Tamandua tetradactyla: one gene and its partner. The protein of the gene in region 1 purifies or fractionates together with the protein of each later gene. This does not show direct contact. Links are inferred from orthologs where the notes say so. Each region holds a gene or a part of one and is shown in the gene's direction. Other genes may lie near its edges.

Region 1 (3,751 bases):
AAGGCTTTTCCTGGTATAACACTGAGAGACTTATAAATCAAGCTACGTTAAATTTTTTTCCAAGCTGTTAAAAAAAACAATATAAACAAATTAAAAACAAACCAAAATAAAATGTGAACCGGAAAAAATATTTGAACTCATATTTTGGATGAGAAGTAATTTCCACAATATATGAAGAGGTTCTATAAATAAATAAGAAAAACCAACAGCATTGTTAGTAGAACAATGGCACAAAGGACATAATGTCACAAAGAAGAAAACACAAATGACATACACATACAAATGAACACCAATCTCATTTATTATAATAGAAATGAAAATATAAACTATAATGTGATTCCCCCCACCTCCACCAATTAGGTTAATACCTATTAAAAATTTGATAACACTTTGTTGTGAGAGGTATGGAGAAACAGGCACTCATACAGACTCGTGGGAGTGTACATTTGGGCAAGCTTTATGGAGGACAATTGGGCACTAGCTATGAAATATTACGTAGCAAGTAATTTTGCTTCTAGGAATGTTTTTATACTTGCATTGTATAAATAATGTGTTCACAAGTTTATTCACTGTAGCTCATATTGTAATAGCAGCAACGGTAACCTTTCTACAATATGGGTCAAGGGTATGAAATTACGTCTAACCTTTCCATTCCCATGCTCCTGTAGAAAGTAGAGGAGAAGGGACTAAATTTCCATAAAAGTACAGACGTAGATGCATACTTAGTAGTCACTGGATTGGAGACCAAAGCCGAAAACATGAAATATATTCAATTCATCGAAAACTAGAACCTATTCCTTAAGGACAGTGACCAAATTTTATTTATCTCTCCCTGTCCGGATCAAACACAATTAAGGATTTGATAAAATAATGTAGACAGATGGGAAAGAGTGGTAGAACCCGGGAACGGGGAATCAGAAAGGACGCCAAGGTGCTGTGGTTACCTGGAAGCCAGAGAGGGACACTCTGAGTGTTGCTCACCTGTAAATCAACCCTGGAATTGCCCTTCCATTGGACTTCTTGTGATGTAGGAAAATAAACCTTCAGTTTCCTCATCGGAAGGAGTTGGATTTCATAATATCCGAGCTCTCCCCTCCAGTCTTCAGCTCCGACATCTAGACTATCAACCTCTCCGCGTCGGTCGCCCAGGAGACGAGCGCCACTTCCGGCAGACCAGTCACTTCCTCTGCGGCCACGCCCCGTCCCCGCTGGAGGGTGCTGATTGGTCCGTTTGAAATGCGCCGGGCGCGAGCCTACCTGGGCTCGCAGCGGCGCTGTCGGGCTTTACGGAGCGCTGCGCCTGAGCAGCGGTGTCTTTCCCGCGGTGCGGCCCAGCGGTTCAGCGGCCCAGCGGCCCGCAATCTGCTCCAGCCCCGCCAGATCGAGCCCGGCGTCCCGCGCGCGCGTTAAGGCAGCACGGAGTCTGCTGCCATGAAGCCAGCGTGAGTTGCCAGCTCCGGAGCAGGGAGGGCGGGAGGTCTGGGCGGGAGCCGCGGACCTGATTCTCCTCACGCCGTATGCGGGCCGTAGGGTCTGGACCAAGGCCTCGCGCTGCTCCGCCGCAGCCCCCAAAGTGAGAGCCTCCACGTGGGACTGCTCGGGATGAGGGCCGGGCAGGGAGACTTTCTCCGCGGTGTCCCGCAGACTCCCGCCACCCCTGAACCAGACGCCGCTGGCCCGGTCCGCACCGGGAAAGTCAGCCCGAAGTTGGGGGGTGGGTGGGTGGGTTATGTAGTGACCCTGGTTCCCGTTAGCAGTGTTGTCATGCGCCTGCCTCCGCCAGACCTTTCTCAGGTTCCCGTTTTCTCTCCACCACTGCATTTTGCAGGGTTAGTGCGAGTCGGGAGGCGACTGTCATCTGGATCTTCTCACGGGTTACACCGAGTGTTGGTTAGTTGCTCTCAGTCCCTGGAGAGCGCTGGCGTTATAGAGCTCTGCGTGCTTTTCGTAGTCTAGCTCTGTTGCATGAAGGCGGAGGCTAAAACCTTATTTGGGCTAGTCACTTTTGCCCTATTCTTAGGTCGTAGACGGACACCCGCCCACATTCCTCACTGAGTACCTGACATATTTTCGGAGGAGCTTAATTTCTTGATCACTTATTGCAGACAGAAGTACTTGATATGCAAAGAAGATGGTTGGCCTTATAATTATTCATAATTTTAGCTAGTCCTTTGTAGAGGCAATTTGTTTTATTAAGAGACCAAAGTCAAAATCTTAAAAAAGGTGAATTTAAGTAAGCCTACCACAATATTTTACCCTTTGAAAAGGCTAATTTCCTTCTGCTTCGTCTGGGAAATTTTTGAGAAGACTCTTCTAATAATCTACAGCCCAAGTCAGTAATTTCACTTAATTTTAAGGTTAATTTTCCATCTAGTCTATAGATAATGTAGGGGAAAAGTGGCATGCTAGAGAAATGGTGAAATACATGAAAATATCTTCTTCTGTTCACCTTACATCAAGAGAGGAAGAAATTTGCAATTTCGGACCACTCTTTTGGGGACAAAGGGTGGTAGTTTTGAGAATTCAGTGATTATTTCTTCCTTGAAAGTATGAACAGATTTTAATGAAAGAATGGATTCTTCTATCTGCACTTTAATAATTTATTGACGTTAACCACTTGTCAGTCTTCTGTGGCAAATGGTTGTTTGTGCCGTATGTGCTTGTGCACGTGTATAAATGCCTTTACAGATAAATATGGTCAGTTATCTGTAGATTTGTCAAATTTGTAGTACCTCTAAAATTGTTCAAGAAATTATGCAAGCTCTTTAATTAACCAAAGAGGAAGTAGGTATATTTGGTACCAAAATGTATTTGAAACCAAATTTTAATTACTTTTGGACTATATATACCACAAACATTCTTCTATACTGTTGCAATTTATTATTCATATTAAGAAATAATTTTATAAACCCTAGGAAGGTTGTCTTTGTATGAACTAAGCTGAGATTTCTGTATGTTGGTGCTGAATTGAAACATTTTCTATCTTTGACAGAAGGAATAAGACACCCAGGAAACCTTTAGTGAAGAAAGGATCCCAAACGAACCTTAAAGACCCAGTTGGGGTAAGGGTGCCCTAAGATTTGTGTATGTGCGTTCTTCGACCCAATTCTCTCATGGGAGGAATGGGAGAAAAGATGTGGAAGTGGAGTCAAAGAACATTTAGTTAGTTAAAAGGATTGTACTAAATTGCATAAGGCTAGTTCTAAGCTGTGAAGTTTTGTTTCTGTATGAGATTCATTAGTCCACTAAAATGAAATCTTCAGTTGTTGATCGCATGCTTCCTAAAACTAATTATAATCTGAAATATTAGATAATTTAAAATACTCTTCAACCTGGTTTGTACCCTCTGGAATGGGGGGAAACTTTCTGCTTGGATGATTGAGCGTCCTCTCCCATCTTAGGACTGCTTATAAGTATAGTTTGTAGCTTTCTTTATTAAATTTGCCATCAATTACTATAGCTCCAAACTCTGCTTCTTGGGGCCAATTATTATACAGATTCTGGTATATAATAGCTTTTTTCAGTCTAATGCCTACTCATAATTGCAGGTACTTCACTAATTTCAGGCTTGTGAGCTTGCTTTTAAAAGCAAATGTCAAATAGACAAGGGGCCTCTCTGAAGCAACTTTCACTGGCACTAGTCTGTGTCTCTGGGTCAGAGTTGAGGGAATCAGGTTCTTCGTACACAGCTGAACCAGGATTTCTTCCGTCCTGTCACTGATAAGGAGACCACAAATTTCAAAACTTGCAC
Region 2 (3,751 bases), on another chromosome or scaffold:
TTTCAGTGGTATGCCACCACCCCAGTGTTCAATAGGTAGATGTTCAAATGGAGACAGATTTTCAGGTTATTAAACCTGTGCCCTGTTCATTAACCCACAGTGCTTCTTGTATGCCCTAGCACAGTATTGTTTTCAAATTACTGGTAACAATTCATTATTGAGTATTAAAGGCAATGAAGTAGGAACTACCAACAGAGGGGAAAAAAGAGAATATACAAATTCAAAGTATTTTACAAGTAGTAGGGGTACATCGCCTTCTGTTTTCTGTGATACTTGGCTTAATATGAAAAATATTTCCCACTGGGTTGAAGTTAAAAATAATAATAGTAATGATAAAGCATGAGAGCGTCTGCGGGAGCACAATGCCAGGTTCTAATGAAAGTTATTTAGTATTGTTTCCCCAGCTGTCTCCTCCATTCGTAGCCACTGAAATAAAGCAGAGACCTTTATTTTTCCGATCCTTAGCAGAGTACTTGTTACAAAATTGCCACTTAATAAATGTGTTAGATGAAAGCCTGAATGACTGCATCAATCGATGAAGGGATAATAACAGTTCAGTAACTGCGGTTGAAAATGACCGCTTTTCTATCTCCTGGAATTTTTCCTATTCTACCTCGAGATCCAATACTGTTCATTTGATAGTTTCCAAAAATCCCTATTTCCCGGTCTGGGAGAGACTGCGACGCCAAAAATTTTTTGCACTCGGAAATACCATTTGCCCTTAGTCAACATGGCGTCCTGAGTGACTTCAGGAGAGGGCGACAGAAAGTACCATTGACCTTAATCAAAATGGCTATTGAGTGGCTTCGGTCTACTAGAATGCACATGCCCAGTTCTGTCCGGTCTCACCCCCACGCGACCCTAGTGCGTGCGTCCTAGCGTAACGGAGTAGCGTGGGAAGAATAAATTGCTCTGTGATTGGTTGGTGCGGGATTTCAAACCCGAGCTGGCGGCGCGCTACTGCTCTGCAGTTGGTTGCAGAGCGTAGGGAAGTGGAAGGCTGCCCCGGGTAGGCCCCGGTGGACCCGGGCGAAGCGAGCACTGGGGCCTACGGAGAAGAGGTACGTCTGACGCTGGATTTGTGATAGGAGGGAGAGTGTCCGAGATGGTAACCCTTGACTACTGCAGGGGGTTGGAGGGAAGGCGGCAGCTACAACCCTTCCATTAGGGCTTTCCCTGGGGCGGAGGCAGGCCGAAGGGGCTAGGTCTGGGGCTCGGATAGTGGGGCTTTCTTTCTTGGCACCGCGTTTTGTGGAAAGCCGGGGTGTCTTTTTGAAGTGGTGTGTTTAACAGGGCAGGATCCGCCAAAAAAGGTGGCTCTCACTTAAATTCAAAGTTTGGGAATGAGTGGGGTAACACCCCTTATCCTTTTTTGGAGGGCATTTGTGGAAGGGAAAAGGCTTGGTGTATGAGAGGCGGGCATGGTCTCGAGGTATGAGGGTGGGCCTTAGCCCTGTCCCTTTTGGGCTGTGTCTTAGGTAGGCTGGCCGAGGCAATGACATCTTACCCTTCTCATCCTAATTTTTAGCCTCAGTAAGGACGAACCCTTACTTTCCAGGCTATTTTTAGAGTTTCCAGTACATTTATAGCAAATTCCTTTTTACAGGATTTCATTCGTAGGTGGAGAGGTATGTAGAAAGACGGGATGGGTGGGTAATTAATTAGCCTTAAAAAAAGAAAAAAGAAGTGGCATTTTCTCTCTTTATAATGTGTAGGGTAAATAAGCTTTTCGAGTTATTGAAGGGGTTTGGACAAAAATGCCTTTCCTATAGTTTAATCATTCAACAGGTATTTGTTAAGGGTAAAGAATAAGTTCAAGACAACTTTATTTTGCCTTAATGAAGCTTGTGTTTTGTGTGAGATGATAGCTCCTAAAAAGATAATTGATTGTGGTGAATATGATAGGCTAATACCTTGTTGAGAGGACGGTACATTAGTACAACCTTTTTAGAAAATATTTTGGCATTATTTTATCAGAAGCCGTAACATGTTTTTATCTCTGGTGTAGTAATCCAAACCTTGGAAATTTATTCTAAGGAATACAGCCACCTGAAGAACAGTAGTATTCACAGAGCTGTTCAATTCATTCATTCAACAAATATTTATTAAGCATTTTACCAGCTGTCAGATACTGTTGCAGGCACCAGGGCTCAGCAATGAACAGAACAGACAAAAATTCCTTCTTAAACTCTCGTGGACAGACAAATAAACTAAATAGATAGTTAAATACATATTGGATGTTGGGTGGAGATAAATGCTTTGGAACAAAATAAAGCAAGGAAGTCTTGGGTGAAAGGCTGCAATTTAAAATCAGATGGTTAGGGAAGACCTCACCGAGAAAGTGAGATTTGAATAAAGACCTGAAGGAGGTGATGGCAAGAGATTCCAGGCAGAAAGAACTGAAAAACTGGAAATTACCTAAATGAACAAAGAAGAGAGTGGTTAAGCAAATAATTGGTCATTAACTCTTTGGAACTTACTAGAGAAAAAGCAAAGCGAAGTCATATTTAATCTATGACTACAAGTCTGTGAGATGAGTGCACATTGGTCAAAGATTAGGAAGGGGTGTGCATGTGGTTTAGAGTGGTGAAGTTTTTGTTTAACTATTTAAAAAATCCATTAATTTTTTTGAACATGGTTAATTAACAATATGAGGCAGTGTTTTATATCTGCCAAATGAGTATTATAGTTAATAAAAAGATCATTTTGGACTGAAATGGTTAGGTGGGGCTTTAATGAATTGGTAAAATTTATACTAGACCTTGAAGAATGGAAGACTTCAGAAAGTGAAGAATTCACAAGAAAAACAGGAAAGTTTGGTATGCTGAACTGATAATAATTTTCTAAAAAATAATTCATCTCTTCCCTTATTTTAGTCTTCATTTGTTTTGGCCTGAGGATGTTCTGTTTACTCTTTCTGCAGTTGATTTGCACATAAAAACATTTGGTTTTAAGATATTTCTTCTACCTGCCAATTGTATAGAGGCTTTTGGAACATATGTTTATATGTTTACCTTTACCAGGCAGAAACTGGACATTTGGGAAAAAGAATTGTTCTGAAATATTTTCATGTGAAGGAATCTTATAGTATTGAGAATGTCTTTTGGGAATGGTTTTCCTTTGCAGCAGAAAAAAACCCGTATTGTTGATTTCTTGGGAATCTCCAGATTTAGCCGTGTTTGTGAGAATGTTTTTCATTAAAGTTCTTTCCTGAAAAAACCCAAGCAACCTTCCATTACTTTATCTTACATTATTTAATACCCTTGTTGATCTAAAATAACTGATGTATAGTGTGTCAATAGTGTTATTTGTAGGGGGTGGAGAAAAAGGATGGTGACTTTTCCCAGGATACCCTGCAGTAAGAGTAATGGTCTGTTATTCTGAAGGACAATGTCTGTCTCTTGGCTGGGTGATTGAAATTAAATTGGGGGCTCAAAGCAATCACCACAAGCTGAGACTCATCCTGTTGCCAGATTGCTCCTTTAGGAATACTCACAGATTGGTAATCTGTAATATAGTGACTTCTCCACCTCTGGGGCTCCCCATCAATAACAACTGAGATTTCTAGCACCTTTTTGTTTAAAGTGTTCCACAAACTGATTTCATTTCAGCTTCCCTGAAAGGCAGTCGCCTCTGTATTGAGAAGTAACAGCTGTTTTACAGCTACAAAGCAATGTACCACAATATAACTTTTTTGTTTCCTTTCACATTATCATCTAGCTATGGAGCTAAATAATAAAGGGGGAGAGAT

The links.
Region 2: the proteins of KIF23 (region 1) and RACGAP1 purify together in Homo sapiens (co-immunoprecipitation; 10 studies listed by BioGRID and IntAct, counting the BioPlex papers as one, with this or other methods). This does not show direct contact. The link is inferred for Tamandua tetradactyla from reciprocal best matches to the Homo sapiens genes KIF23 and RACGAP1.

Annotation. Positions count from the first base shown.
Region 1 is NC_135338.1:73,118,574-73,122,324, reverse strand, and holds the start of KIF23 (kinesin-like protein KIF23), read left to right. Parts: upstream 1-1,282; 5' UTR 1,283-1,431; coding exon 1,432-1,442; intron 1,443-2,992; coding exon 2,993-3,062; intron 3,063-3,751.
Region 2 is NC_135333.1:111,047,514-111,051,264, reverse strand, and holds the start of RACGAP1 (rac GTPase-activating protein 1), read left to right. Parts: upstream 1-902; 5' UTR 903-1,061; intron 1,062-3,751.